Danio rerio: one gene and its partner. The protein of the gene in region 2 purifies or fractionates together with the protein of the main gene of each other region. This does not show direct contact. Links are inferred from orthologs where the notes say so. Each region holds a gene or a part of one and is shown on either strand. Other genes may lie near its edges. The genes, in order: tox4a and ppp1r10.

The links.
Region 1: the proteins of ppp1r10 (region 2) and tox4a purify together in Homo sapiens (affinity purification with mass spectrometry; 3 studies listed by BioGRID and IntAct, counting the BioPlex papers as one, with this or other methods). This does not show direct contact. The link is inferred for Danio rerio from reciprocal best matches to the Homo sapiens genes PPP1R10 and TOX4.

The regions. Positions count from the first base shown.
Region 1 is NC_133177.1:41,086,127-41,102,625, forward strand, and holds the end of tox4a (TOX high mobility group box family member 4-B), read right to left. Parts: intron 16,210-16,499; coding exon 15,907-16,209; intron 14,717-15,906; coding exon 14,465-14,716; intron 14,381-14,464; coding exon 14,060-14,380; intron 10,934-14,059; coding exon 10,853-10,933; intron 10,770-10,852; coding exon 10,044-10,769; intron 6,495-10,043; coding exon 6,343-6,494; intron 6,040-6,342; coding exon 5,982-6,039; 3' UTR 5,293-5,981; downstream 1-5,292. Other genes in the region: si:rp71-1g18.1 (uncharacterized protein LOC559922), read left to right, coding at 2,213-3,072. UniProt on the Homo sapiens protein: Transcription factor that modulates cell fate reprogramming from the somatic state to the pluripotent and neuronal fate. In liver, controls the expression of hormone-regulated gluconeogenic genes such as G6PC1 and PCK1.
Region 2 is NC_133194.1:32,885,679-32,902,913, reverse strand, and holds the start of ppp1r10 (serine/threonine-protein phosphatase 1 regulatory subunit 10), read left to right. Parts: upstream 1-9,352; 5' UTR 9,353-9,371; intron 9,372-9,554; 5' UTR 9,555-9,866; exon of another isoform or gene 9,867-11,215; intron 11,216-11,304; exon of another isoform or gene 11,305-11,378; intron 11,379-14,451; 5' UTR 14,452-14,460; coding exon 14,461-14,567; intron 14,568-14,864; coding exon 14,865-14,951; intron 14,952-15,032; coding exon 15,033-15,168; intron 15,169-15,260; coding exon 15,261-15,312; intron 15,313-15,405; coding exon 15,406-15,492; intron 15,493-15,602; coding exon 15,603-15,734; intron 15,735-16,025; coding exon 16,026-16,131; intron 16,132-16,263; coding exon 16,264-16,367; intron 16,368-16,499; coding exon 16,500-16,603; intron 16,604-16,686; coding exon 16,687-16,846; intron 16,847-16,933; coding exon 16,934-17,077; intron 17,078-17,235. Other genes in the region: abcf1 (ATP-binding cassette sub-family F member 1), read left to right, coding at 101-173, 1,930-2,096; mrps18b (small ribosomal subunit protein mS40), read right to left, coding at 3,067-3,272, 5,136-5,195, 5,282-5,348, 5,775-5,843, 5,929-6,026, 8,097-8,244, 8,372-8,452.

The DNA of each region.
Region 1 (16,499 bases), on a different chromosome or scaffold from region 2:
ACACACACACAACTTGGACGGGTGAGTATTTGTATAGCAAATTTCACACACGCTGATTCAATTTACCTTAAATAATTTGTTTAAGCCTGACATTTATAATGAATGTTGTTTCTAGCGCATGCCACTCAAACTTTTCTTTCCTATTTCTGTTCTGAAAACATTCATATTTAATGCATTTTTATTTTTGTGTTCCTTCTTTAGTTTATAATATCACCACTATTCTGTTCATTATTCCTGCATGACATGATGAAATGTAACTTCTGGTCATAGGTACATGACACTTAATACAGGTGAAATGAAATGTTTTGCTCTTGTCCACTTTTCAACTCTTTCCAGAGGTAGTCAGGAACACAGGAGTTTTTAATACCTTAAATGCTTATGTGATCAGCCACAGTAGAGCGTAATAGGATATGTTTTAAGACATTGCACCATAACAAGTATATACTTTTCATATAAAACAACCAGAGTACAATCAAAATTGTATATTGTAATGAAAATGCACATCGCTCTACAAAACCAGGTGGAAACAGCGTCTTATGGTATTGTGTGACTATTTTCTTTTAATAATGGCCATGAAATTAAGGGTAGGAGCTATAGGGGTATGAACATGACTACCAGTATTATGGTGTATATTTTGCTATATCATGGATATGGTTATTCTTTGTAAATTCAAATTTTTCATTTTTTATGAATTCACTTAATCTTTGTGATGAAAATAACAAAAAAAATCACTTCGAAGTTCGGGCCATTTTTTTTTTTAATGAATAAAATATATATATACAAAATGAAAAAGGTAAGTATAACATAACAAAATGTTATTCTTCGCAATAATTGAACAATATGCAATAACATTTTACAGTGAAAAAATGTGTTGGAAGAATATAATAATTGTCAGTTTAATCACTGATGCAGCTGGATTACCTTCCATTGGATGCACCTGTCCATCAGGCTGAAGCTGTTATCAGTTTGTCTAAATAACCTTGCTTGGTGTTTTTTTTTTTTTGTTCTTTTTTCAAGTTTATTTTGGGTAGAAACTGTGATCTTGTCAAGTGTAAACAAATATTCAGCAGATATTGACATATATATTTTGCACTGTCTCTCAGCAAAAGTAAACATAACGCAGTTGATGCATTCTTGAAATATGGCCGACCAAGGCCCGTTTACTCTGCCAGTTAAATGTGTTCCAATTTCAATTTTGTTTGCTCATGTGACGGATCGGCTGTGTTCTATGACCATGTAAACACGAAAAAACGCATGCATTCACATATTCAGAGATTGGTTTCAGACCTCCGTCATACGTGGAAATAAATCCGATGTAAATCCAATATGTGACGATGCGACTATCATGTACACAGGCAGATCGGATTTATTGAGGCATTTCATTATGTACGTCATTAAACTTGCGACAATGTGGTACTTCTCTGCGGTTTAATGATGTAGAAGGAAGAGCGTGTGTGCTCATCCTAAAATTTCAGACCCACTGCTCCTTATTAAACCCTGCCACAATATGCTCCCACCAGACCTGAGATCTCTCTCATACCCACGAATTCCTCCGAATGGTGGAGGACACCACATATAGACCATAGGCGCATGCAGCGATGACGGCCCTTTCCTTCCTCCTCCGCCTCAATGGTTTTAAAGTTGGGCAAACTTCGCTTATTACACAGAGCTAAAACCGAGACAATTTCTTCCATCGTGACCAGTGTGGTGCAGATGCTAGATCACGCTTTTACGCTTGTGCAATGTCATGAATTGTTTGTCAAGTTTAAACACACAAATCAGATATGGGTCACAATTAAAAGAACGTGTAAACGGACAGGCCAAAAAATCAGATATAGGCAACAAATCAGAATTAGGCATCAAGACCTGACAGTGTAAACTCCGTTTTTGATTACGCAGTCAAATAGCAGCCATAACTTACCCTGCTCTAACCTCTGTTTGAGGAAACAACAGTCCAGTAATCTGCTTACAGTGGTATGACGTTAAACAATGTGTCTTAATTTTAAATAAGGTTTGCTAAACTTTTGGGAGGTGTAAAGCAATCTAATACAGATATCATCTGAACAATAAGAAATATTGTGATGTGAATTTTTGCTCTCCTACATAAACCATAGTTGTTTTTCTCAGACTATCCAGTTGTTGATGCTCTAAAAAAATGAGTGTATCATGCTGAAATATCTGAAAGCTTTAAGTGTCTTCTGTGCTCTTTCAGGTCTTCGAGGACTTTCTCTTGAGGAACCGTCTGCACACTCTATAGTGGATCCAGACTCTCATCTGTTCAGCTCTGTTTTAGACAGCATTCCCATTGCTGACCTTTCCACTGACACTTTGAGCCAATGGGACCTTAGCCTTGTGGATGTCAATCCTTTGCCCTCACTTGAAAAACCTGAAGCTCCTCATACCAGCGAAATGTCATTGGAGGACACTGAGCTCAGCCAGGCCTCGGCCAGCAGTGCCGCGAGTGGAAAGAAGGTGCGTTTCCAGCTCACCCAAACACCTTTCGACTGCAAACTTTTAAGGCCCTGTTCTGTGCAGCTTGTGAACCTTCTGATGGTGTCCAGCGCGCACAAGGCAAACGGTTCCAGCAAAAAATGCTTCTCCGCACCCAAAGATCTACGTACGCATCAGCGGGTCCATACGGGACGCAGACTATGCTGCTTTAAAGAGTGCGGAAATGGCATTTGGCGCCTGCAGGGCGTCCTCGCTCACGGGCATCCTCACGCCTGCAAGATCTGCGGCAAGAAGTTCAAACGCAAAAAGATGCTCAAGCGGCACGAGCGGTTCCACACAGGAGAAAAGCCGTATTCGTGCAGGAGGTGTAAAAAGACGTTTGCCCTGCGGAAGAGTCTACGAAGGCACGAACGTTTCCACACGGGAGAAAGGCCCCACACTTGCCCCCACTGCAGGAAAGCTTTCCGCCTCAAGAACAATCTGAAGGCTCATCTGCGCTTCCACACCGGTGAAAAGCCCTACATTTGCAACCTCTGCTCCAAGGGTTTCAGGATCCGCAAGAATCTGGAGAAGCACAGACTCCTTCACTTAGCGCCGGTTAACTTTCGAACTCTTCAATAGCAGAAGGGTCACGTGATCACATTTCTACCTCGCATCAGAACCACTGGATCCCAAACAGCACAGAGTTTAAAGCACTGGCGATTAGGTGACTTATTTAGTGTGTTTCCACTTTTTGTCTTCAGGAGTGTTTGTGGAGAGTTGCTCCTCACACCGTCTATGCTAGTTGTGAGTTGTTCATGTCTTTTGAAGAATTGTTTCATGTCACTAAGCATTAAGTGTCCAGGGCATTAAAGAGCCCATCCTGCAGTTCACCGCAAACAGACTTGACTGATTTCTGCTCGATGTAAATATTCTGTAATAATCGTAGCTCTAGAATGCTTTTTAAACTTTACAACTTTTATAATCTGGACCTTTTAACATGTCTGTCTGGCTTCTTGCAACATGGTTTACATGTTGTTGAACACTGGAGATGGTTGAGATTTGGCTTTGTATGTCTTTTGTATGTACTTTGAAGAGATTCTTAAATTGGACTTTTTTAGCACGCTTTCATTTCTCAAAACAAAAAGAGAAAAGTGCTTTTCGTAACTCTTTTCAAACATTATATACTCATTATTATAGCTTTTACATGCGTTTTCTAACTGTTGTTTCTGTGTTTGGACCAAGCAGCTTTTTTTAATCTCAAGTTTTCAAAGATTATTTGTTCTATCCTTTGTGTTTCTTATAATCCATCTATGCTTTCTTGATTACATGCTTTAGTTTGATATAAAGAAAAACCTTAGTGACAGATTTGTGGATTTATAGCATGTGAGTTTATAAAGAAGAAAAAAGCATTTATTATATACATCCTGTTTTGCCATTCCACATAGCCATTATGAAAAGACAAGTTTTTTTTTTTTTCTTTCTAATAAACGAATAACCATATGGTTCATAAAGTTCACTGGGCTCATTTTTTATTTTTAATGAAGGTTTTTATTATATTTACTATTTTAAAAATATATATATATATATTTTTAATGATAGATTTGAAAAATTAAGCAATAAAACAAGCGATTCCAAACTTTAGAATATAGAATAAACAGTGATGCACATTCAATCTTCCATAATAAAGCTCTGGAATTCACTCTTTGCCATTAAAAGGGCACCTATTTTACCCCTTTTTCAGACTTATTTTAAGATAAGTCTTGTGTGTCTCCAGTATGTGTCCTAAGTTTCAGCTCAAAACACCCATCAGTTTATTTATTATACCTTTCAGAACGTTAGAATTTTCTGCTTTGAACACAATGAAGCTGATTTTTTTGTCTGTGCCCTTAATTCTTGTTCTCTCTGCCCACCGTGTCTTTCAGAGTATGCCTCAATCTCCGCTGTATCAGATGAACAGCACAGTGAGACATGAAGCAGATCTCACGTAGTGTTTGTGAGAAATACTACAGTAACAACTTTCCCAATGATTATTTGATGTGTTCGTTGTGGAGTTTATTCAAGCCTGCAACGGTCACACAATGTCGTAACAGTTTACGCGCACTCACACACACGCACACACGCACACGCACGCACGCACACACACAGTGCAAGTTGCAGTGTTTTGCACAACAAATGTGACAGGATACATGTTAATATCCACTGCTGTAAGGATATGTTAGGTTAATGAACAAAATAAACCTTATTTAACGTCCATAAACCAGGATTAAAGCATCTTTTATAATTGTACTGACACACGACTGTGGTGATGACAGTAAAATCGCTGTAATGATTATAGACATGCACGGTTTTAAACTTGTAAAACCCATTCTTGATCACATTTGATGATGATTGATGATCAGAGAGCTGAACACATCTTTTTTTTTCCCGGTGTCTTTGCCCGTATCCTTTTGTTGATATGAATATACACGTTACTACGGAGACATGTTAATACGCAGCTGTAAATCAATCTGGTGGGCGGGAAAACCGCCCTCCTATGTCACGTTGTGGCAGGCCTCAAAATGGAAGTGATTTGGATTATAATTTAACGTCAAGAAATTAAAAAATAAATAAATACAAATAAAAGAGAGCCTTCTTGTCTTTATATCACCCCAATATCACTGTAGACACACTATACCTGCACCGTTCTGTCCAAACTGCTTACCAAAGATGATTTTCATCATAGGTGCCCTTTAAGTCAGGCATTGTAATATAAAAAAATGTAAACGAACTCATTGACGCCATGTAAATATAATTTCTTAACTAAAATGACTGCATATATATATATATATATATATATACTATTTGAGATAAATTTCTGGGAAAAAAAGTTTATTTTTATCATCATCATACATTTGTTTAAATGATCAACAGACAGTCAGCTGTAATCACATCTACCAGTAGGGGAACATCTGCAGTTCATCCTTTTACTGACAAAAAACAAATCAGTCACAATAAGATGGTGTAATCAGCAATTATTTCTGAAACTTGGTCCATTATGGCTGCCATTTATTAATACTTGAGTACTTTCTGTAATACAATATATAAAAAAGTCAGCAAAACAAATTCCCCATAACTAAGGCAAGATCGAAGACACTGTCAGCACATGAAATAAAGATCTGAAGAATGATTGCTTTACTGTTTGAGGCTCACTAATACCGTTATCATCAATATGACTACATTAGAAAATAATATAACAGTTCAGAATTTTCTCAGGTTAACACAAATAACAAGCAGCATACATACAAATCTAAATGAAGGATGATCTTCACTGTGTTCTGAGGTTCAGCAGTGAAGAGAAAGTGTTCAGACTGTGGTTCGGGGTATTCGTCAACAGCTCCGTTTATGACCGTGATTTTTTTTTTTTTTGTTCAATTGTCTTTTCATGCTTTCAATATTTACAACACAAACACTAAACCTTCACTAGCAATTCCAGTAAAACATCGTCATGTTAACTTGTAAAAGACACGTCCAGGCACAATCAGAGCCAGTATCAGTGGGATTTGCTTGGTTTATTTGACAGCGGCTGAGGTCTGGTTCTTGATTGAACACCAGGCCATGAAAACATCTCTGTGAAAACAGTATACACTTACGGTTAGCAAAATTAAACTGACCACACAGAAAAAAACAACAACTGGGAAAAAACGATTATGCTTCTACAGCAGTGGTCTTGAACTCAATTCCTGGAGGGCCACAGCTCATTGCAGCTTCAACCACCTCCAACTCACACCTGCTTAATAGTCTCTAGTAGTCTTGATGAGTTGAGTTGGATCAGCTGTGTTTGATTTAGGTTGGAGTAAAATTGTACAGAGCTGCGGCCCTCCATGAATCCAGTTTGAGACTGGTGATATTCAATATATCTGCAGTCCTCACCTGCAGTGTGTGGCCACACATTCATTGCTGCAGTATTCTTTATCCCAGTCTCGACTCTCCACAGCTGGGTTTGTGCATCCGGCTCGGACACACAGATTAGCAGAAGCTGTTGAAGAGGAGGCAGCAGGAGCCACGCTGACCTCCATCTCCATCTGAAAAACAAGCCCAGAGATTAATGCTGTGATGCATATCCATCTGTATCTGATCTTATCATGTCATCAAGTTTAATTAGTAAACAGTAGCAATAACACAGTTTTACACTGTTGATGAAACTAATCTTCAGTTAACTTTCTTTAATTGGATCTCTGACTCTTCTACATCTGACAGACTGGCCATTTTTTTGGTTAAAGCTGTCGGTTTACCAAAAATCTTGGTGCTTGTTTTTATTACGGACATGTTTGGACTAACATCACATGATATCATTTATTTCATATATTTAATAATAGATGAATTATTGTGTAAATAACTCTGTGTGTGTGTTAGATGGTAAAGGTGAGGGCCGATGTCCTGCATATTTTAGTTCCAACCCCAATTAAACACATCTGAACCAGCTAATAAAGCTCTTTCTAGGTATACTAGAAACTTCCAGGCAGATGTGTTGAAGCAAGTTGGAGCTAAATGATGCAGGACACAGGCCCTCCAGGACTGAGTTTGGACACCCCTGGTATAGGTGATGTATGTATTGTGCATGTAGAGCTGCAGTACAATAATTGTCATCTGATTAGCATGCTAAGCTAACTGCGGGTAGTATAATAAAAAAGAAAACAACACTGCAAAAGGTGAAGCAGAGGACTTCCTTACTATTAGTAGGCCTATTGTAACATTGCTGCCTTGTTTTTCTTGTGTAGATGAGTGTTTTGTACACGGTTATGGATATATAAGATTTTTAAAACATAATGATAATAATAAGTGGTCTTATAACTTTATTCAATAAATGTTGGTCTAGTTTTAACTTGCTAGCAGTGGAAGTAGCCACACTGCAAGCTCAATAATGTACATCCAGCTACTAAATTTCCTTTACTCAAGAGACACTTTTAAACCTAAATGGTGTAGATGGTGTAAAACATTCATATAGCTTAGTATGACAATATTTTCTAAGATAATATCATGCCGATACACTTACAGTCATGACGCTCTAGCGCCAGTACTTTGATTTTATTATTCGAACGAATAATATAATTCCATAACGGTCCGCTAGATGGTGCCATTGAGTTTTTTTCTGGTGAGCAGAGCAACCTTCAGCATGCATGCAGTAAAATTGGATGGCAGCATCACAGAAAGGTGTACACAACGTTAATGGCAGGTTTTCATTAAAGTGTTTGTCTGCTTGACAATCCCATTTTCCACTGCATGTGTATATAGCAGAATATTGCTATACATTTGAAAAATCCTAAATAATATTATATCAGGACAAGTATTATAATATTGTATCGTTTCCCACCCCCAGAATAAACAATAGCTGTTTTATTGTTACAGGGACAGTTCACCCAAAAAAGAGAATTCTATCATTTATTCACCTTCTACTTGTTCCAAACCTGTTAGCGTTTTTTCTTCTTCTGTTGATCATGAAAGCAGATATCTTGTATATATGTTGGAAAGCAGCAGCCACTTCCTACTATTGATGTCAATGTGTGTTTTTTGTGTTTAAAGGGGTGGTCCAGAGTGTATTTCTAAGGCTTGGTTGTGTTTATAAGATGCAAAGCAATGTGTGCTCATGCTTCACATGTTGAAAATCACGCTATTTTTTCATATACCTTACTTTGATTATATACAGCTACTCAGCTAACATGAAAACAACTGTCATATTTCCTAGTTACTATCCCTCAATAGGCTCTAATTAGTCATCTAACATAGGCCCAATCCCAATTCTATTTTTGTACCCCTAAAAATTTACCCCTAAGAATTGGGACACTACAGCACCTGCACACACCATCATACGTCATCACAATCTCTTGCTTCATATGAGATCAGACGATCGGGACTGCTGTAGTTATTCCAGTTGTGTTCTTTTTGGTATTTATCTTCAGGAAATCACTCAAGTCATATATTATTTTATCATAACGATATAATGTGGCAATAAGATCATAACTATACTGTGTATTTACACCGTAGCCATATTCATCTATGCAGACACAATAAATCAACATTATAGCAGACGAGCTCATTCCCAACCACAAGACTTATCTGACAGGGGATTCGAGTGTCATCGAGAGTCAGAATGTTGTGTAACTGCTATACAGGAGTTATGATTAGGGATAATAGATAGCGATATTAGCAGTTTTTATTTTAGTGTTTTTGTTTTTTAAACCATGACGGTAAAACACAAATGCTGTTATGAATATATTAAAACATGCTTGTTTGTCGTAAAAATTCGTAATAACGACAAAATAAATACTAATTTGTGGATCTCCTGACTTCTGGTGCAGCTATACTGCCGTTGCGGCTGGTGTATTCTGGGAAATTTTCTTACCCCTTGGTTTCGAGTGTGGTCCTGAAAAATCTCATTTTGAAGGGGTATCAAGCCCTTCCCCTGAGCCCTACGCTATTAAGCTAAAGAGAATTGGGCCACCCCTACCCATTCACCTGAATGCACAAAAGAAGGGGTAAGGGGAAGGGTTAAGGGGGAGAATTGGAATTGGGCCATAATGTGCTGTGACTCGCAGATCGACTCCATGTCAACAGGAAAAGCGTCACACTTCTAATAGCACACGCTGTGCCTTTGCTGTGTAAATACTGTCAGAGTAGCTGTTAGCCGTATCAGTTTCAGCCTGAACAAACTTTACATACATTTAGGTTGTAAGCATGTTTAAGCAATATAAAACGTTCTCATATCTTTTGTGAGTTTGTTATTTGAGATGTAGAACACAGGGAAAGCGTCTGCATTGAGAGACACTGCAGTGCTGATGAAGGTTGTGGGTGTTCACAGCATTTTGACGGATAAATATGAATTTGTAGTTTAATTTTTAGCGGTGCCAAACAGCATTTCCTGTTGTTTATATCCTTGTCTAAGCCCTTGCTTTAACATACTGTTAACGCTAGACACTATGTCATAGATCAATTTTAACAAATAAAAATACTTACAGGTTGTGGCTCACAATCTACAGCTTCTTATATAGTGGTTGGATCTGCTCCTCCTTTGAGGAGTTTTTAGCCGAATCCAGCACTGAACTGTGAGAGATTCTGGATGCTCTCCCTTGTCAAATGCTAGCTATATCTTTATCATAATTGCCTGGAACATAATTAAAATTAAATTGTAAGCACTTCTCTCTTTGTGCCATGCCCTTTGGAAGCTCAAATACAGAAACAGAAGATGCTCTGTGGAAATAGCAGCATTTGCATGGCATTTTAGCCTTCTCTGCTATAACATTACAGCGCCTCCGACCATGCCCCTTCACTGTGCAGGGTGAATGTGCCTAACCTGAAGTGTATGTGATCTCACTAACCCAGATGTATTGTTTGTAGTCCCCAAACTTTTGCTGTAGGCTTTGCTAAGCTAACTCTGTAAAAGCCAACATCTCCCTTTGCATTGAACTTTGAGCGCATTACATTTAGAGATGATGTTTATGTTCACACAGCTACATTACACATCAACCAAAGCTTAAAATATTATATGATAGTGGACCACCCCTTTAATAGTGCATAAATGGAGAGGACATTTTCATTTGTGTGTGAACCATCCCTTTAAATATGGGAAAGCAAACCTCTTCAGGCTCCTCTGTCACAGCCTCATCTGTCCCGGTGTGCAGCTCCTCTCTGGGTTCCTCCACTTGCACCTCAACGGGAGCAGGATCATCTGCGGCTGAGATGCTGGATGCGGAAATCACAGGAGTGGCGCTCGCTGCTGTAGTAACAATAATCGGAGTAGACAGGTCAGAGTGTATTGAAGCGGGCACGATCTTTATCTGGAGAGGTGGAGGTGGAGTAACGGTGATGCCCACAGAACTGCCTGCTCCTCCACGGGGTTTGGCCTGAAGAGGCGGAGGGGCTTGTGTTTGCACCATCTGCTGCAGGCGGGGTGGAGGCGGTGTGCCCTGCATCTGCTGCAGAGGTGGCGGCTGCCGTCCAGGCTGTACGGCTCGCACACCAGCTGGAATCACCGTGACCATGGATGTTGGGATCTGGTGGAGCTGAGCGCCTCCTTGAAGCATCTGCTTAGAGATGATGATTTTGGTGACAGTGGGCGTCGGGGCGGGGCTTGGTGCTGGAGCTTGACCAATGGCTACAGGTAGAGAGCCTGTGCGGGAGCGAGTGGTGACCTGAGGCAGGTCCAGGATGATATTGGAGGCGCATATGTTGGTGATTGTGTTCTGTTCAGTGATGGGGGTCAGCCGAGGACGGATGGGGGCAGCAGGAGGAGTGTGGATGGGGGCAGGAGATGGCATAGAGGGAGGAGTGGCAGGAGCGCTGTCTTCAAGCTCAGAAGATGACTGGATGAAAGACGTTGAAAAAATAAGTAATATCAGATAAATGTGCAAATCAGAAACTGACAGGCTAGAAATTAGACACTCACTTTCGAGAGCTGACTTGCTCTGTAGGCCGCTAACGCTTTCAAATAGTCTTTCTTAGCTGCCTCTGTCTTCCTCTTGTAAACCTGCGAAAATTAATAAAATGAAAATTAAAAATGACACAAACTCTTAAATGGTACAACAAAGGCTTTTACACCATGTGTCTTAAATCATTTAGTGAAGTGACAAACCACTAATAAAATTAAAAATGTTGTATGTAAGGTTTTGATTTTTTTTTAAATCATAAAAATACCATAACACATCTGCAGATATTTAAGAAACATGCTAATGCCGAGTTGCATGATTTTAGCTCTGATTTTGACTCGCCAACAGGTTTTGTGAAATCGCCGACAAATGCCTTGTAACAATCACAGAGTATGAACTATCAAAGACAAGATCTGAGAGAATTGCAGACGAGTCGCTGACACCTGTGAGATATTTGACATGCTAAATATGTGGAGCTGTCGGTAATCTATAATCAAGCCGTGTGAAATGTGTTCTGATTGAAAATTACATCGGCGATCACCTACAGCCAATGAGAGAGCAGCATCCACTAGTATGGGTATCTGAGGGTCAGTGAGAGGTTGGGGGAGAAGTTAAAAGCACTTATTTTCCATCTATTTGGACCCAACAAATAGAGGAAAACTAGTAGAAATTTGGAAGAGCACTCGTGTCTGTTGGACGTGTCAGAGCAATATCACAACCAGGTCGAAAAAGAAAATGTTGAGAAGAAATAGCAAATTCCCTTCAAAAGTCATGTGAGCAAAATAAGTACATTTTCTACCCCACTAAAGGCGTCTTTCTCTTTTGATCTAATTATCGACTATAGATATACTACTTAACTTGATCTCGCGTGTTTGGTTGTGAAATGTAGTTTGCAGACCAAGACAAAAGTTGCCGCCGATTTCTACTATTGTAAAGTCATGTGGTTTGAAACCCCCTGTCGCCGATCCATCTTGCTGTGTAAACAGCACTGACAGAATGCTGCCCCTGATAGTCATGCAGTGTGAAAACATCCATGATGCGACTACTTTAAAAAAATCATGCAAATCTGTACTCTGCATAAGTGAACGCTTGTTATTCATGCAAATCTGAACTCTGCATAAGTGAACACTTGTTTATCTGAAAAACAAGAATTCAAGTCTGTTATTCTCCTTTGAAAATGTGCGCTCCATGTCGGAATGTCTGTCTTAGTTTTGGTCTCAATAACCAGCCCACTGCCAGTTTACCCAATCATATTTCAGCACACCAGGCTGCCTTGGTGGAAAACACCCCATATTTCTTTTCAGTTTTGAAGGCTGCCTCAGTGTATGCAGGCGCAGCTAAAATTGCAACCTCCGGAAGACAGCAGTAACCTCCGAAATGAGATACAAGAGTCATAAAAATCTATGAGATTTTATTTTGCAAACAATTGAAAGTTTCCCAACATAACCATCAGCTGTTTAGCTTACAGGGAGCACATTTACATAAACACCAATACTCCAATGTTAATACGATTAAGTCAATACTCTTAAGAGTCTACCATGTAAACAGAAATTTTTGATTACCTTATTCTTCTGACTAAAGTAAGAATCAAACTGTACAGTAATCGCATTGCAAAGATGTGAAGTATCTGTAATTTAGGGGCATTATTGAAGTGCAGTACAGACATAAACACTTTAATCAAATTATTACTGTTTTGAAGTACTTTTCACTACATTTTGCGACAGGATGCACACATGGTAGTTGTCAGGCATTTGACGACAAACAAATGAAAAGCTAGTGTATGAAATGGCAGAGGTGGCCTGTTACTTGAGAATTTGTATCCGCTGTCATTTGTTTGCATGCATAGTGTGAGAAATTAACTGCAGTTGAACTTAAACTGAAATTAATAACAAAACATCCAAAATCACATATGGTGCCAGTGCTTCCCACAGGTTTGAAATATACTTGTGGTGATAGCCAGATTAAAACACACCATTTACCCACATCAAATAAATAGTTAACAATATGCGACAAACAAAACAATTTAATTTTTAACAATAATTGTATTTATTATGACACTGTTATACATGGTTTCTTTTCAATGGGTTAAAGTAAAAAAAATAAAATAAAAAAAAAACTATTCAGGAGCCATGTGCACCCACTGACAGGTAAAACTTGCTTCTCCCTCTCAAGTTTAAAGCAAACTTGCAGGTCAAAGCATTTTTGATATGCATATAAAACACACAATATATTGACATAATTAAATTAAAATATACAGCAAATGATGAACAAAAAAATAAATAAAAACAGACAATATCTCTAAAATGACCATAATTACAAGATTAAAACGTGTAGATTATTTAAATAAGGCAGACGCATTGATTAACCATTACTAATGTTGTACATATATTTTGCAGCCAGTTTAGATTAGAGAATGAATTGTTTAATGTTTCTCTTGCTCTCGCAACTGCGCTGTCAGCTGTGACGCCAAGCGAAAGTAAGCTTAAATAAAAATGTAATGCAAAAACGCATAATGACAGCTTTAAAATGTAAAAGCAAAAGCTGAATCCCAGACATTTTAGCAGCTTTAGAAACAGGGGGCAGGCAAATTTCCCAAAAAAGTCCCAAAAAAAGCACGTCTCTGTGGGTCTGCAGAGCACTTGAGACTGTCTGTGGGAGTGTTGACAGTTCAACATAATTTTCACCTACTTAATCAATTGCGGATGTTTGGTTATGTTGGGATGATACAAAAAGTGTAAAAGTATGACAATAATACTAAAAAATTGTGTCAATTGGGCAGCTGTTAATATTCCTGGGCGACCCGCCTGAGCAAAGTCTATGAGTGGGAAGCACTGGGTGCCATGATGAACGCGAACTTATGTAAAACGCTGAATGAAATTAGTGTTGAATGTTGATGTATAGACGTTTAACGAACTATATACTATAACGTAAAACAGGATCATGAAAGGAACATTCAAAAAGCAGCTCATGTTAAACACCTTACTCTTATTATTGTCTTATTCAGATTAAGGCAAATAATTAGATTACTGATGTCCATGCAAACATAGTCAGGATAAGGCACGATCTTCAGCAATGCTCGTAATTTATTGTTATCATTAATCTGGCAACCTGCGTGTACGTCATGTTGTTATTGGAGGAACCATGTAAAAAAAAATGCAATACCTAATTGCATTCTGCATCTTTAAGCCTGGTACATGAACAGAAGAGCATTATTAAGGACTCCATACCTGTTTTTGCTCCTCTCCCAGGCTGTCCCACATGGAGGCCACTATCTTAGACACCTCTCCAAATGTGGCATTGGGGTTCTGGCCTTTAATGGCAGCCTGTGTGTCTCTGAAGAACAAAGCATAGGCTGACACTGGTTTCTGTGGCTCATTAGGATCTTTTTTCTTCTTTCCCTTTTTGACCCCGAGTGATGCTCCTGTGTCCACTGTGGCCACTGGCACCATGGATGGCTTACCACCCACCCTCCTCACCACAGGTGGAGGAACAGATATCTGGGCTGGACTGGGCTCAGAGACAGCGAAAGAGTCTACCAGCATGGTTTTCTGAGAAAGAAACCGGGAGATGTTGCAAGATGAAAAAATAATGAAAATGTGCCACCAAAACAGGCTTATATCTCAAAAACTCACTTGTCTAAAATCCTCCATGTCTTCATCCTGCAGTGATCCAGAAGGGGACGGTGTGGTTGACAGCGGTTGGTCTGGTGATTTTGACACAGATCCTCCACCAAGGCTGAGCCCTAACTGGGCACTTAGATCTGAGTGGTCTATGGTGGTGAGCTGGTTGTGTCCTAAGAGGCTGTGGCTCATTTCGTTTATTGGAACATCAATAGTCATGGAGGAGGAACTAGCGAAATGAGAGCCAACAGAATGGCCAAGATCCTAAAAAAAAGGGGGAAAGAGAAAGATTCATGATCTGAAAGTGCAATCTACACTCTAGATCTAATTACATTAACAGCCATTTAAAAGGTCATTTGTAAAAGCAAGAAGTATGGAGGCAATAATACACATCTCTCATTTAAAAATAAAAGCATTCTCAGGATATTTAAAACTGTTATACAGTTTTATATGATTTGGTCTAAAACTAAAATCTCGATTAATTGAATAATTTAACTCGATTATGATTAATGAACAATTATTTAATTTCTTTTGTTTTTGCCCTCATAGTTAACAAGTTACATAAAGTGACAGGTTTTGTGACAAGCTTTGTACAGTAAAGTGTAGCTATAACAGTTGTGATGTGTAATTACTTTTTTTTTGTATGTGAAGGCTGTGCCGGACCGTACATGTGCTCTTGGCAGAAGCATAATATCAAAATAATGCAAGTAGTACAAATCATAATACAATAAGTATAAATCAGCCCAGAATGGAGTCATTTGAATTCACAAATGGTAGGAAAAGTAATTGAAAAAAAAAATGTATCTGAAAAAATTTGATTGATTATAAATTGTGAATGTCGATTTTGATTACTTTTAAACTACCATAAAATGCAATGTCAGATCTTTCTAATATCATACAGCACTAGTTTGAAAATAATTTTATGTCAAGAAAGAAATTTTTAGAAATACTCATTCATGCATGCACTTAAAAACGACTACTGAACAAGTAGGATTGGGTCATAGGGCATGTTACAAGATTTGTGCCTAAATTCCCTGTAAACCAGGGGTGCCCTAACTTTCTTACGAAGGGCCAAAAACCAAACTTGATTAAGGGTGCTGGGCCGAAGCTAAATATACCAAACTGTATTACATTAAAGTTGGCATGGTAACTAATAATATTTAAAAATAGAAAGAAAAAAAATACTTTAATTGTATTTGTATTTATTTATCTGACAACAACCCTTATCAATCTAATAAATGGATTTCTTTCCAAATAGAGCTATTCAAGCCATCTGGTTAAAATGTATTCAAATCGCAATAAATATCGCAGGAAAAAAATATCACAATGTCAGATCTTTTCAATATCATGCAGCCCTATCTAGCATTTTATAATCCATTAGAAACAAGTGCTGGATTTCCTTTAGCAAACACGATGCAGACACTGCTGCCACTGCTAGAAAGAGAAAAGCTTACCACACCCAGAGTTGAGCTCAGCAGTGCACTTCCGCCCTGCTGGTTCATCACACCCAAAGTCAGGTGCTCCATACCCTGAGATGAGGGATTCATGAAGGTGGAGGCAAAAGATGGATCATTTCCCCCAACTACAGTATTACTGGCAAGAACACTTCCAACTCCAGCACCCCTTGAGCTCTCAGCCTGTTCGGCCAGCTCTCCAAAATGTGCCTCCACATCCTCTATGGTGAGAGCAGAGTCTGGATCCAAGGAGATTGGGATTTCGAACTCTTCATCACCCAGACAGGGTGTATAGAATGTTTTCTGAAATGAAAAATAAAGACATAAGAGCAATTCCAGCGCTATGGATGCGACATTTGCAGTAAAATCTCAGAACATAAATTCACAGAGAAATTATATATTAACTTTGTTAAAACATCTGTTTATATTTTCCAAAACAACTCACCACAGAGTTATGGGATCAGAAAAATATCAATCTGTAAACATTTGTTTATTTTATATGAGGAAAATAAACATACGTGATGGATGTGACCAAAAAAGTTTACAGTATGCAACGTACTTTGTACAAGTTCTGTGAATTAAATTGGACAATC
Region 2 (17,235 bases):
CCCATCACTAGTCATTAATGTCCTATTAAAGATGAGGAATGAAGATAACTAAGTTGAGTGGTTTAACATGTTCTTCATATTTCTTCATGTTGATGTACAGGATGAGCCCACAAATAACTTGGACATTGAGTCAATTGATGCGTTGTCAGAAGCCATCAATGAATATAAAGGAGGTATGTTGTCTTAATATTATTGATCACAAATGATATTGAGTGCATTAGTGTGTGTCTGCATTTTCAGCATTTTATTATTTTAAATAAGTCTAATTTTCACAGGAATTTTTATAAATTATTGGATTAAACCAACCAGCTATTATGTATATTAAAATATTATAAACAATGATTTGAAGAAAAAAATATACATTTTATAAATTCAGTAGATTGATTGATTAAAGGATTTCTTTCTGTCAATTTCTCTGGAGGTACTCAGTATGTATTTGAGAACAATTTTAATGCTATATTTTCTACAAATTTTGACAATTTTGAAATTCTATGCCTTTCGACTAAAATTTTAAAATGGTCTAACTTTTACTCTAGTTATTTTTTACTAATGTAGTTATTTTATTGGCTTTTTAATCTGTATAAATAAACTTTATTTAAAAGTCAATTACTTTAATTTAAACAAATATTAAAAGGGCAGCTATGATGAAAATCAACTTTTAGAAGCTGTTAAGACAGAACTGTGTGTAGGTATAGTGTCTCCACTGTCATATTGGGTTGATGTTAACCTAAGAATTCTCTTGTTTAAAAATTCCTGACTTGAAATATGACCCAAATCCCAGTGATTTTGAGGCCCACCGCAATGTGACCGATTAGTGCGTTTTTTTTCTGGCTCACCAAATTGATTGACAGGCGCCATGTTTCTAAAAAATAATATATATACACATCCACAGAACATTTATTTTGCAAATAAACTGAGATTAAAATATTTGTTCCAAGTTTTTAAAACAGCTTGTTTGTTATAAAGACAGTAAAATCGCTATGTACTGTAATTCTTAACCAATCTAATCACCATGGCCACATGGTGTCAGTAAACAAGCATATGTGTTTGTACTGCAAATGACATTTGTGTGAGACTCATCATTTCAGAAAGGCTTGAATAAACTCCACCACAAATACATCAAATAAACTAACTTGGTATTTTTTACTTATGAGCTATATTTCAGCTTCATCCGAGTCTGTCTCTGTGCTGTTCATCTGACGCATGACGAGAAGCAGACACACATTTGGGAACAGTGGGCAGGGAGAAGCAGCTCATTTTCATTTAAAGCCACAGGCTACAAAAACAGCTACACTGTACTCGAACACTAAAATGAGCAAATTCTGGAGACTTTAATGAATAATCGAATGGGTATTTTGAGCTGAAACTTTACAGACACATTCTGGAGACACCAAAGGCTTATCTTAAATCTTGTAAAAGGAGTATAATAGGTGCCCTTTCAAAAATCATTATAAAGCATCTTCGGTTTTAAGCCAAAGTTAAACATAGGTATCCTGTTGTGTTGTTTGGTGTATAAATTAGAGTACAAAGGGAATGCACAAGTGGTTTCTAAATTATTCCATTAGCTTTGCATGTAACCAACAAAAAGATTAGCATGTTTTTGGTCCTCAAAAATTGTGTGATGTTGACCAAGAGGTCCACAGATGCTCTTTCAAACATGGCAAAACAAAAGAGAGGCGCTGCTATGTGGAATTACAATGGTGTGTCCACTGTGGAGGTTTTGTTTTGATTGTCTAGTTCAATGGCATCACACACATCTTTTGTAATGGTTAACAATGTTTGATCGGTAAGCATCCTGTGGTCTTATCCACAACAGGACAAGATTATCCTAACAATAAAACATTATGTAGTCTCAATGTAGCATTACATATGTACAAAGATATATAGGCAAAATCATGGCAACTAATATTCATCTTTACCCATTTCTAGCTGTGATAATTGTGAGCCATGATGCCAGGCTGATCACAGAGACCCAGTGCCAGCTGTGGGTGGTGGAGGACCAGTCAATCAACCAGATCGACGGAGACTTTGAAGACTACAAGAGAGAAGTGCTGGAGGCCCTTGGTGAGACCCTGGTCAACAAGCCTAAAGAGTGAAGCACGGCCGGTGTTTATTACAGGAGTGTCAAACTACATCACTGAAGGGCTTTTTGCTGCGTCTACATTGCTACTTCTCAATAGAACCAAAAAGTACCTGCATGCAAACATACAAACCCTACAGCTGCAGGACGAGTGAAAGCTGACGCCAGATCAGTATTTTCACATGCAGGGCTTGTTCTTTAGTCATGATGTCTGGCATTCTTGTGTTAATCTTACATTCAGGTCATGTAATCACCAGCTCTGTTCATCTTTCTGATGCAATGCTATTAAACCTGCTTTGTAACTGATCGCCACAGTGGGAATTTATCAAATGTGAACAGAGAGGACTAGAAGTGTGCCGTGTGATAACGGTGTCTGACTGCTAATGCTATTTACTATTAATGCCACTTCATAGTATTGGCTCTTGCGTTCACATCATTATATTATCATTGTGCTGACATACTGAACCAGCCTCAAACTGTTTCACCCTCACCTGTGTTCATACAGTGATGCATCTGTCTAGAATTATGAAATAAGCAGGGCTGTTGACTCATTGGGTTTGGATAGAAACCGAAATTTAAATGATTTGAAAAAGCAAATAAATGATTTTTGCAATAAAGTCAAGATTTTCAGAGTTTTATTTCATTTTATGCTTCATATATTATGCTTGTCTTGGTAGGAACAAATGTAACCATGTCAAAAGCAAATGTCTATTTTCTTGTGGTCGTTTTAAGTGCTGGCAGAGAAACAAGGCGGATGAAAATTCCAAATTTGCTTTGCTTAAAGAATTTACTCTGGATAAAGCTGTATTTTATTGATAATTGGAATATTTTTTGACTAATTATAGTAATGTGTTTAATGGACTGCTGCTGTTCAGCTGACTAAACATCAACTATTTTAAAAGTGAGATGTGACCAATCACCACAGTAAATGTGTACACAAATTTCAGGACTCCATCTCATCTGACTAAGGTCTGTTAAAGCAAGATTCAGACTTCAGGTTTAAGGTAGTCTTTGTAGATCCGCTTCACTCTTGCCAGTTCTCGCTCGTCTGGTTTTATACTACCATACCAAGAATACCACAGTTCTCCAGAGCTGAGGGGAAATGGAGGAGGAGTTGTGGTTACAGCACCATGAGTGTTTGAATAGTCTTCTTTAGTGAAATCCACATGTGCAAACTGGGCACGAAGTAAACCTTTTGAGAGAGAAAAAATGTATGAGATTATATCCCTCGAGCATGTCCACCAACTTTTTAAAAGGGATTAATGGTGTGTTAACACTTGGCAGGTTTTTTTGAATAAAATATACTCTGTGGCACCAAACAAGTGGATATCAATCAGTCAATTTTCAATAATAACAGGACATGATGTCTCAAGATGCAACCATAAAATTAAATGCTCAAGTTTGTGATGTTGCTTGTGACACTAAAATATAGATGTTAAAACATGTCCTCGCTGCAGATCTTCATTTGTGTATAACGCCAGGCAATGTTTTGATAAGTAGCCTAATCTATTAAACACAAAAACAGTGTTGCATTTTCATCCCAATTAGCGGTTTCTCAACCACTTTTCTGACATGTCTCAAAGCCATTGTCAGGATTTTTTTTTTCATTGTTTATCATGGATACCTGCGTAACACTTTCTTGTTTCCTCTCATAACATCACACTTCTGCCACTATCTGCTAAGTGTTTTATGTAGAGGTCTGACAAGCTGGCTTCAATAAAAATAGAATAAAATAAAAATGCCCAAACCGATTGCAATTTTAGCTGGTTTGAGATCTAATTAGTTTGACATGAACATGAAACACTTAATTAGGTTAAATAAAAAAAAACACACTTAAGAGTTTTTGGTTGGTTTGGTCCAGACAAAAAAAATGCTATATTAAGCCCTGGGTTGCTTAAATTTCACACTATTACTTAACACTGAACCTAAGGATGTAATAAAAACAACTAAAAACTGAAATACTTCTAGAGTTTATATTTTGCAACAGATCTTCCTGAACATCCAACAATGATGTGTGCATGTGATTGTATAAAAACAAATAAGAGCTTATAAGATGTCTGAAGATTAGGCATGGGACGATAACAGTCATTGTATACCGCGGTTTGAAAAAGTCAATGTTTTTAAATACACAAAAAAATGTTCTGCTATACCGTTCCTAATGTATGTGAATTTTTTTTTGTTTATGTTTTTTTGTTGTTGCTTTTTAGGACAACAGTATCTCGAACAGAAAAAATGTCCAAAGATGCCGTTTTAAATTGTAAAGAAATCAGTGTTTTTGAAACTAATGAAGACAGAAGTCAATGATTAATTTAAATTATTTAGCCTGACATGTTTACTGCTCCATAAATTTTAAATGTTTCTCAAAATAAAATATATTGTGTTCAAAGAGAAAAAAGTTGTAGTTTTTTACCCAGACATTTAAAAAGAATACATTTAAAAGGTAATCACAATACCATGAAACTGTGATATTTTTATCCAAGGTTATTATACCATCAAAATCTTATTGACTTTATTCTTCAATGCGGAAGTGTGCATGGTTTTGCGATTGTTTTAGAACTTCCCAATTCAGTTGCCTATGGGAGAAATGACTAGGAATAATAAAACTGCAGAAAACGATCAAACTACTTGCTCTACAAACAAGTGTTTGCATGACTATAAAGACAAAGCAAAATAATATAATAGGAAAATGTCAGTTTGCAACATCAAGCAGCAGAACGAGCAGTTTTTAATGTCTAAAAATGAATGGAAGTAAATGAGACAGGAAGTCTCGAGCCAAAAGTATTCAATGGCTGCACCAGCTCATACGCGAAGAATAAGGTGAATACTGGCCCATGTCTAGTGAAAATGTCAATGCAGCACAGAGAAATCTATAATCAAACGCTGACATATGTATATTAAAATCTGCTTTAAAAGAAAAGCAGTTCTGACAATGTTCAGTCAAATGAACCATACTAAGAGCAATTACACCAGAACCCTTCTAATCCAATCAAAACCTGCCAAGTATGAACACACCCTTTATAAGGCGCTAATTAAAATTGCAAAAACACCAACTTACCAAAATCTTTAGCAGTTTCAATAGCCTTGCTAAGTAGTTTCTGTTGCTTCATGCACACACCTACAGAAAAATAAATGAAATCAAAAGTGGTGATCAGATCAGATAAAAAAAAAATTTCCATTGGAATGTACTGATAAATCTGTTACCGGTTACTGTGGGATCATGTACCACTCCAGTTTCAGGACAAAAGAACTGCTGCAACAAGTTCACATTCTGCAGAACAAATATTGTAAAATTATAATAAATGCCACTAAGCTTTATATATATATATACACACATGTGTATATGTATACACACACACACACATACATGTATATAAAGGCATGCGACAATAAGCATCCATAATACTGTGAATAATTATGTATCATTTAAGTATTTAAAATCCTATTATAGAAGGTTTAATTAATATTCATATTGATATCATAAGAAATTCTGAAACCATTATATGCCTGCTTTTAAGTGTTGTATTCACACACACACACACACACACACACACACACACACACACACACACACACACACACACACACACACACACACACACACACACACACACACACACACACACACACACACACACACACACACACACACACACATATGAATAAAAATGATTATAAAAGCGTCTCAAAAACCAACCTTGTAATGGATAATGATATTTGGATCACGACAGATGGGACACGGGTTCGCACATTTCTTATCTCCTCTCTGTGACAAAACACAAATCATTAATTCATACTTTACTGACTGTGCTGGTAATAATACAAAAATAAATAAATAAATGTGTACTCACAATACAGGTTTTTCTTGTCTTTTGAGGTGGGATCCCACCTTTATGATTCCTCCTGTAGTTTGTCCACACAGGCTTTGTTCCATAGCGTTCAATGTATTCTTAAAAAAACAAAAACTTAAAGTTATTATATGCTGGTATACGTTATTATATTATATGCTATTATATATGTTGACCAGTGTTGGGGGTAAAGCATTGCAACAACACAATAATATTACTTTTCTAAGTAACGAGTAAAGTAACGTTACTTTTTCGAAAATTTAACTAGATTTACTTTTTAGTTTCAATTAATTAGCTTGTAGCGTCCTTCACTAATTGTTCACGATTCATTTATTAATCACATTCCATAGAATTAGTATGTATTTTTTCATCATGAACTAGAGAGAAAATAAACAAAACAAATAAATCCCGAAAATTAAAACACTAAGCCAACATCAACAATTAAACATTAATCTTAAACAAATAAACCAAATTACCTTATTTTTCCCTCAAACCAGGAGCTATAACTCATGAAGGAGGAATCCGTGAAGTAACCGTATACCTGTGCCACTTTTACTGTGTTTCGCCTAGCGTTCCATACTTTGTTTTCAATCATTACTACACGCAATATATCAAGTAGGCTCCGCAATTTTTACGTCATAATTAAAGTCCCCAAACAACTTAATTCATTCAACAAATCATAAAAAAACTAATTCTAAATCATAAACGAATTAACACATTATTTCAAGTTTCTTTACATAGCTTTTAAAAAATAAGTGAATTAAAATTAGTCACAATGTATCAAGCAGTCAATGAGAGAATGTGTTCATTATTTTGAATGCATTTTTTCATTTAAACAAAAGGAAAAGGGGATTATAGTCTCAATGGACAGTGATTTTACTTAAGACAAATGGTACAAAAGCAGCAAACACATTGCTTTAAACTTTTAATAATCTGTATATACGGCATGTATAGCTCATAGCTCAGGGGTCAGGAACTTCTCAAATAACATCCTAAAATTTTTTATTTGTGTTTTTTTTAAAGGTAAATGTGGGTTGTACAGTGCATAAATAATTGCAGAACTCCTCTATTTAAAAAAGAAAAAAAAAGTTCTGAAAGAGGTTAAGCCTGAGCCAGGTAATAAAAAAAGTAACGCAAAAGTAATGTGACGCATTACCAGTGATGTAAAGTAACAAATTATAAATACTCAAATTACTGAAATGGAGCAGTCTTTTCTCAAGAATTGAAATTTAGTAAGTTGTTTTAAAATGTGAATTTTTACTTTTCCTCGAGTACATTTTTAGTGCCGTAAAGTTCTTTTACTCCACTTCTTTCCTTCAACCTGCAGTCTCTACTTGTTTTGTCTATGGGCATTGGCTAAAGTAGAATAATCAGTCCTGTGATTCTGGTCCAACCAAATCGCACATAGAAACAAACTTATATCATCCTAAACCTAAAGACATGCTTTATAAATGTAACAAACTGCTTGGAAGCATTAACAGTGTCCAAGAAGATGGACGACCAAGAGACTGTTTAGATCAGGGGTGTCAAACTCAATTCCTGGAGGGCCGAAGCCCTGCACAGTTTAGTTCCAACCCTGCTCCAACACACTTACCTGTAGGTTTCAAACAAGCCTGAAGGACTCAATTAGTTTGATCAGGTGTGTTTAATTAGGGTTGGAACTAAACTGTGCAGAGCTGCGGCCCTTTTGGAACTGAGTTTAACACTTGTGGCTTAGATGCAAGTCACTGATGAGAAGAGTGATGCCAACTGTATAATGACTGAATTTGTCAACACTAACTAAATGCACTAATGTTACGTTTACATATCCCTGCACAACTTGCATATAAACGCATCAGCCTTTCACAGCATAATGCTCACTACTTGCTAATCTTTAGTACTTTTAAAGGGTCTACTTTTTGCTCATACTTTGAGTAATATTCACAACAGATACTTTTACTCTACTTGCACTACATTTTTGGGCAAGTAATGGTACTTTTACTGATGATTTATCAGTACTCTTTCCACCACTACGCATTTCTTGAGAGGGAGTTGGACTTCTTACCATAAAAGTAACAAAGTAACGCAACTAGTTAACGTTACTTCTTGGGAGTAACTCAATGATGCACCACTTTTAAATATAACATTCCCCAACACTGATGTTAACTATATACTTTAATAGTCATATTTACCTTCACTTTTTAAGTACTCCCATGGTGTGTCTGCATATCTAGATAGCGTCTCCGCTGAATTGGTGTTATCAGCAGATGAAGATGATGCACAATAATTGACACGATGCACCGGAGCGACAATGGACGTTATTCTTACATCACGAATTCTCTGCAATGCAAAATAAAGAACGTGATTCGTCCTCTTCACGTGATCACTTCGCTGTAAACACGACATTTATATAACCACACGTTATATCAAAAACATCAGTTAAAATGTTAATTTATAATCAACAAACCTGTGCTTGAAGATGTCGTTGTAAATTAACGGGAAATGTGCGGCAAGCAACTATCCCAATGCGTTGTAAGGAGGCTGCCATTTTGTCTTTGCAGGAAACACGGAAGTTGTAACGGTTAAAGTGTACTGTGACGGAAGTACGCAGCTTTTATTATTTATCTCACGTTTTCTATTTGTTGTAAAACTAAACACGCGTTGTCTTTTGCAAAGTCAGCTTGTCATGAAAGTCTAGTTTTAGTCTTATACGCATATTATTTGTTGGAATTTAAATGGATTTGCTTGTTTTCAATGGCAAACTATAAATAATTAAAATGAATGTTTCAGATCTTATCCAAGACACAATTAATATGTATTTTTTATCTGCTTAGCCTTAAGTATAGGAAAAATAATGGATTTATTTTACAAGAAACAGCAAACATCAGTGATAATCAAACTGTTATTTTAAGGGTTCAAATCTCTACAATGCATAAATGATCTGATTATCATTAGGACTGATGCTGTTAAAGAAAATCTGTGTGAAAATATATAAATTAAAATAACATTTATGCTTTTTTTTAATCGCAAACATTTCTCTCTTTGGAACTATTTTAATCGACGCAAAGTACATAGAATATATGGTAGATAAACTACATAATTGCAACATTAATGTGTCATTTTGACTGAATACAATATATATATATATATATATATATATATATATATATATATATATATATATATATATATATATATTTTTTTTTTTTTTTTTTTTTTTTTTTTTTTTTTTTTAAAGAGCATATGAATCATAAACCATAGTAACTGGTTGGGGTGGGCTCGTCCTTGAACAAAGAAAGAAGGTCGTTTCGAGAGTGTGCGCGCGACAGGACCGCGTGATCATCAGCTCCATTTTGTGTCGAAAGAAACGCCCGAAAGCGCGCTCGCGCCACTGGAATGACGCAAAAAACGTCAGAACCATATATACCGAGTCCCACCCTTCTAGAGCATTCCTGGATTTGTCTGAGGTAAGTGCTATATCGAAGGACAGCTTTCTTACTTTTTTTCGCGATTTAAAGTGTTTTTGCCCCAACTTTTGGCTACATCATCAATTTTATCAACAATCCGGCCTTTTTGAACATTACCTGGATTTCCGCCTCCAAAAATGCGTTTTTTTCTTACGTTCTCTTTGTCCTGTTGTTTCGTTTCAGGTCTGAGTCGGTCTCAGTGAAGATCTGGCGTCGAGGATTTTTCAACTGTGTACGAAGAGAAAACCCCAAAATCTCTTACTTTTTTCTACTCGAGTAACGGACATTCGCTTACTACCTTTTTTGCTCCAGATTGTTCAAGAAGGAAAATCTCAATTTCAGCCACCACAATCCCGCCCATTATGCCATTTTTCAGCCAATAATGCTTAAGTCATGACAGTTTACGTTCTCTTAAACTGTTATAAAGCTGAAATTTGTTGCTGTTAAGCACAAAATATTAATAGCAACCCGAGACGCAGAGGAGAGGTATTAATAGTAAGTGTTTTTTCAAACCAATTTGAATCGAAACTACGTTAACAGTTAACCAATTGTTTGTGTTATAAATGATTTCAGATATAAATATAGATGAAAGCTTTAGAGAAAGATCGACTGTGGCGACCTTAATGCGCCACAGTTTCTTCTAGAGGACAGACAGCATGCTGAGATAAAGCGAGGCAGAGCTAGCTATAGCGTATGAGCTCACATTGCAAAGCCAGAGCAGCGGCTTCAACGCCCTGTTTCTCTTTGTGTGTGAGACGGAGCAATCCTTACCATAATTAAAGTAACGATAATTCATCGAATAATGAGCTAGCCATCGCTAATCATAAGCAATCTGTACATAAAGATTGCCATAGGCAGAGTCAGGAAGTGACTGCATTCAATTGGGGCTTTTTTTTTATAAACTGCATTCTTTTCAAAGGAGAGCTCACTGGAACAACCAACGCAATCTACACATAAAGATTGCCAAAGTGGCGCCTGTGGATTTAGCCGAACGAGGGAAATGCAACATTTTGTTCATAATAGGTTAATAGCTGGCGGAGCTGTGGATATCGTTGTGATAGTATTTGGTGAAAAAAATAAACCTCCCTAGGCAGTGATAATGTATGAAATGCATAGCAGTCTAAGTATAAAGATTGCATTTTTGTGTCGTGTGCGTAGATGGGGTGTTATTTGTCTTTTCGACTTTGCTTTAAAATGGCGGACGGGTTGTCCTTTTCTTGAGGCAATGGTGGCTTTGTTTTTCTGGCTGGATCTACAGGAAATACTTTAGTTCGGAACGGCTGTCGCGTCGCCATCATCCCCATTTACAGCTTGAGGTATCGTCTTAACATACATGAGTCGCTAGCGGGGTTAATGTAGCATTTTTGTAAGATAAACAGCAGGCGGGGGACATATATCGTATTTTTTAAAAGACTTGTTGCAGTTCAAAGATGGCGACCGTGCATCCGTTCTATTTAGCCCACCGCGTACACGAGGACAAGTGGTTAAAGATAATGGGCGTGGTTTAGCTCGGACTTCAGCCAATCAGAGGAGCCGCTGTCAGCTCAGGGCGAGCTGCTAAATGAGAGGGAGACTTCGACAGATGGCAAATCAAATCCCCTGGTGGCCACTATTGAGCAGACGAAAATAATTGTATTATAGTCAGGCCAACACTGTATTGCTCTGTTGACAAGTTCTCAATCAATCCTTGGTCAGTTTTGTAAACTCGATTAAAAAGTGAATGTAGGTTAACTTACATGGTGTTAAACTGGTTTATTTGTAGCCATTATTATACAAAAAGTTATTAAATATAAATAGTTAAGTTTATTTAAAAAGTAAGCAAACAACTTGTAACATCTTGACAGGTACTTCAACGTTAATGTTTTCTTTACAGTGACTGTACATGAAATCTTGTTCACTTTTTCTTGTTTGTCATGACAACTGACATTTCCAGGAATTGTGTGTATTGTTCCGTGTTTAAGGAGTTCGGTTGTGACTATAAAAAGTTCTTCACCAACAGTGTTACGGGTAAGACAAAACCTGATTTCTCACACGATCAAAAGTGAGTAAGTTTAACTTTTTCGATTCAGCCATTAGTAGACATTTTCAACTGTCTTGAAAATTACGTAGAAAATAAAACGTTGCTAAACTTTTGCATGCCTAAAAGTCGTACAAATCTCCATACTATCGGTTTACGTGTTTTTTAGTTGTAATGTGTAATCTAATCCGTCGCGTTGATAATCTTTCTGCTGTAGTTAGTTGTGTTGAGTCGTCGGCTTCCAGTCAATTGTGCTGTAGAGAGAGGAAATGAAGGCAGAAATACTCGCTGTTGCTCAGCGTGGGCAGGGCAAGTGACGTGATCTCTCTCTCTCTCTCTCTCTCTCTCTCTCTCTCTCTCTCTAATTGACTTGGCTTCCTCAGATCTTATTGATTTCATTTATTAACAAAATGTACATTGTGTGTATATTTGTTTATTTTAATATATTAATCACATTTAATGGACCATTTAATGTCATTGGCCTATGAACGTTTCCTGATTGTTATCAAACTGTTTCATAACTAACAAGAGGCAATTCAATCATAACTTAAATGTTAAAACAGCTATCATAACAATATTTATCAATATGTGTCTCTTTTTGGAAGCTATAGAAATTAAAAATGTAAAACAGGAAACACGTTGGGACCACTGTTTTTGTTTACATCCCTCAAAACTTGTATTTTTACATCACGCAGTTTGCAGTTGTATTTCAGTAATGTAATGAGAGAAATTGTATTTAGAAATGGTCACAAGGTGGCGACATACAACTTCAAAAGCCTTGTGTTCAATTCCACAAAACCTTTGGTGAAAGTACAGTTGCAAGTACGAGTGTTTTCTGAGCTGGACACTGATCCACAAGGCGGGGAATCAAGTCTGCTGGAATCAATTTTACCCTTTCTTATTTGCATGTTTGTTTGTTTTTTCTCAACTTTTGTTCTTACTATATACATGTATATTTATATTAAAAGGTATGGAAAAATGTAATGCATCACAGCTAAATAGTAATTATTAATGAAATATTCCCAGGTAGCTACTTTTTAAATCATTTTATAATTATAATTTGTTATATTATTCATTTAAATATAATTTAACAATTTTTATCCCACCTTGTGGTTTTCGATTTCTGTACACTGAGGATTAAATAAAAACATGTTTTGGGGAAATATTTAAATCTATTACTTAAATTTTTTATACATGTTGGTCTCGCTTCATATTAGAAAATGTATTATTATATAGAGTAAAAACAACAACTTAAATACATGAAGGTGTTATGATAAGCTTACATTGGGTCCCTCACATTAATTAACAGCTTCATACCAGTAAGAAATGTTAATATCTGTAAAATGTTCCAATTTGACACCCTCAGAAATAAGTACAAGAGCTGTCACTACTACTTTAAAACTATTTAAGTATAAATGTGTACTTTTAATATCCAAGTATAAACCATTTCAGTACAGACATTTACATTTCTCACACCAGCTCTCATACCTATTGCTGATAGTGTTATAATATAGCATATTGTTTTCAACACTTCTATAAACTTTAATTTAAACTAGATCATTTCAATGTGGTGATGTCATTGGCCCATGAACATTTCCTGCTTGTTATAAAACTATTTCATAACTGTAGGCAATTCGATCATAACTTTATGTTAAAAACGGCTATCATAACATTATTTATCAATATGTGGACCTTTTTGGATTCTCGGAAGCTATGGAAAATAAAAATGTAAAACAGGACATATATTGGGACCACTGTTTTTGTTTACATGCCTCAAAATGGTCTATAGACAGATTGTATATTTATTCCAGAGTCTTATGTGTGGTTGACTTTTCTGTTTAACAGAAAAATACCATCACTCATTTGCACACCTTTACTGTTTCCTCTTTAGTGTATATTGAAATTATTTGTCATAAATGGGGTAATAGTAGTTTTGGAGGGTTATCATTACAATTTCTACTCTTTCATTACAAATAAAAGAAGTTGTAAAAACAATGTTCAGCTGTAAGTGCATTCTCAAATATTTTTCAGTGTTGTCTTTGCATCCCTCTTATCTCTTCTCATTTATATTTGCAATTTAAATAACTTGACTTGAATGCACATTACTGTCACAGCCACCAGACTCCGTTTTATAAGTCCTTTGTACCTGTGATGTTTACTTTGGGTAATGTACAGTCAGTGTATATATAAGCAGGTGGGTTTATGACAGTGACATAATACATGTAATAACATTTTACTTTTATTTATCTTTCATCATTCCAGATATGAGTCCTACAACGCTCACATAACCAGTCATCCCTTTTCTGGTGTAATTGAATAAGTGACAAACTAATTTAATTATAGTTGAAACTAGAAGCCTTGTCATGTGATCGTTGTACAACTCTTTCTGCAGTCATCACTAATGTTATAACAGATACACCAGGTGCTTCCATAAGATGCATCTTTTGGTTTATTTGGAAGGGATCATACAATTTGTTAGTTCCAGTGTAATCTTTCTTTATTTCTCTGGCATCTAGTAAGAATTTCAGTTTAATTTAGTAATATAATTACATAATTTCACTAAGTTATAAACCAAGATCAATAAGAACCACTTGTTGTTTAATGTAGTAATTTAATTAACAAGCACATGTATTTGTTGTGAATAGAAAACATAATGTATCTCTCTCTGGTTAAGATTGCACTTGTGATTGTAAAACAAATGTAATGGGAACCTGAAAACGGACACTGTCCATATATGATTCAGCTGAACATGAAAACAGTCTCTCCATTCATCGAGTGCATACATACACTGCTGCCAGTAGCCTTGCTGTGTTGTCTATAGTAGTAATACCACCATTTATGCTGAGCTTGTTGCTTCCAAGTTACTTCAGATCCTCATTCGCCTGGGTTAATAGGAGTAACTTTTGAATGATTCAACATTGTCCTTGGGCTGTTCCAGTGAGCTCTCTTTAAGTGTCATCGTCTCATATTTTCAGTATTGATTGGGCAAGTTATGCCATATCTCAGATTCTCCCCAGTGGCAGGAACACATGAATAACCCCCTGTTTTCTCTCCTTCTGTCAGTAAGCAGCCATGGCCGTGGGCCCAGTGGACCCCAGAGAGGTGTTGAAAGGAGTTGAAGCTCTGCTGGGGAAGGATGGAGAACTACGTAGTCTTGAGGGAGTCGCTAAAGTCTTCAGGTTAGATACTGTATTCAGTTTAAGTTTATTAGTATAGCACTTTTCACTATAATTATTGTTTCAAAGCAGCTTTACAAAAGGTGCACGCTATTACATTACAGTCAAAGTCAGAAAAGTTAAGGTGTATAATATATATATATATATATATATATATATATTATACGTACATAACTTGCAGTTATATATAGTGTTCTTTTTTTAAATGATGACTTATATGTGCATATAATTAATTTTTACCACTTTTATTTTCTTGTAAAATCAACCAAATTAACACATTTTTCTTTTTTTCCCCAACAGTCTGATGAAGGCCTCACATAAAATGGTCAGCAGATGCATGTATCTGAACATATTACTTCAGACAAAATCACATGATGTGCTAAATCGGTAAGAAGGAAGCGTCTGATAAAATACAACACAGTTTGATTATAAATCTTTTGTTTATAAGGTTATATCTTTTTGCCACAGATTCATTCGAGTTGGAGGCTACAAGTTGTTGAACTCTTGGCTCACCTACTCGAAGACCACCACCAACACGCCTCTGTTGCAGCTCATTCTGCTGACCCTGCAGAAGCTTCCTCTTACTGTGGACCACCTCAAACAGGTACTTCACCACACCGTGGTTTACATAACTCACACTCATTCCCGCAGTCATCTAACATCTGTTCCTGTCTGTTTTTTGCTCTCTCTTGCTAGAATAACACTGCCAAGCTGGTGAAACATCTGAGCAAGAGCGGAGAGACAGAAGGTAAGAGCACATGTTCCACCAATCTATGCCAGACAGTCTGTTTATTTAGATTCAGAGCTCAAGTATGAACTCTGTGGTTTCTCTTTTTCTCAGAGCTGAGGAAGTTGGCATCTGTGCTGGTGGATGGCTGGATGGCTATTATTCGCTCTCAGAGCGTCTCCAGTGGAGCATCGCCTAATGGTAGGCCTTCTACCTTTTTCCCTTAAATCAGACTTGCTGCACTTTCAATGTGAGTCTTAGGTAAGTGCGTTTCAAGTTAGTGGCAAATAACCCAATCTGTTTTTTATCAGACAAGAAACGGAAAAAGGAGGATGGAAAAGTGCGTCCAGAGGTGAAGCCAAAGGAAAAGGCAGCTGAGGAGGAGAAGAAGAAGGACAAACCAAAAGCTTATGCTCCAAGTCATGCTAAGATCCGCTCTACAGGTAAGTCACCCCTGTTGTTTATATATTACAGCATTATTTGGGTGGAGGGGGTTATGTTTTTGATTCAGAGACATTTGCACTGTTAGCTTTGTATTTGTATTTAGGCTTTAAACAAAAACCCAAAAATCTAATAAATATTTGAATTGTTTCATATATTAGAATTGGCCTTGTTTAAATATTTGTTGTTGTTGTTTTCTGTGCAGCAAGTGAGTGTCAGAATTTATTTATTGTCTCAGATTACACACTTTTAAAAACGCTGTCTTTAATTTACTCAATTACTTTGGTCTTCAGGTTTGGAGGTGGAGAGTCCGGCTCCAGTTCCTGTGAAGAAGCCACCCGTTGCACCCCAACTTGGAGACAAATACAACATCAAGCCAGCTGTACTTAAAAGACCAAGGTAAGTGCCCACTCTAGCTTCATTCTTTCCAGTGAGAAGCAGCTAATCCGAGATTGGTCCTTCTCATTTTATCATGACTGGAATTCAGAAGATTTGAAATGAATCCTTAACTCTTTTTTTTTATTCTTTCAGCACATCTTTGACTGACGCACCACCAGTGGAAAAGAAGTACAAGCCACTTAACACCACCCCCAACTCAACCAAAGAGATCAAAGTCAAACTCATACCCCCACAGCGTGAGTATGCCCATTCAGCGCCTCAACTCCAGCAATACGATTATGATAATCTGCGGAAAAGCTTTGAAATAGTTTCGAGAGAGAAGAGTTTCCCCTCTAACTAGTGCTCAATCTCCATTTCTCTTCAATTAGCGATGGAGGCCACTGGATTTTTGGACGCCCTCAACTCTGCTCCAGTGCCTGGCATCAAGATCAAGAAAAAGAAACCAAAAGCAGTTTCACCCACCAGTAATAAGGTATGCCTCTTTACACACAGCCCTCATTAGACATCTAGAGAATCAAACAATTGCTATAATGAATGTTTTGTTTCACTCCACAGCCCTGTCCATTTGACAGCAGGCCGCAGTCATTTTCAGGCGCACAGGCCAAACCATCTTCCCCTGAAACGCCTTCATCTCAAACCCCTCCTCATGAGAATCAAGAACTGGAGCAGCCTGGCACACCCGTGCCCACCGAGGAGCCTGAAGCCATGGAAACCGGTGGGTTTAATCGCATGTCCATTGACAATAGCCTTCCTCAAAGCTGTATGAGTGAATGTGCTGAGTTCTGTTGAAATGTGTTTGCAGGTGATAAACCCAATGCTCTGGCTGAACCTCGCAGCGAGGAGGAGACTCTGACTAAGAAAGGAAAGAAGAAGAAAAGCGTGCGGTGGGCGGAAGAGGATCATCTCAAAGAGTACTTCTATTTCGATCTGGATGAAACTGAGAGAGGTTAAAAAAAATTCTTTCTAAATGGCTTTAAAGCTGCTTTTGATTAATTGCTGAATAAAAGTAATAAAATTACTCATTTAAATCCCTAAACATTTGATCAGTAGTGCATAATCATATTTCATCATACATATAAAGTATTTTATTTAATAATAATGACT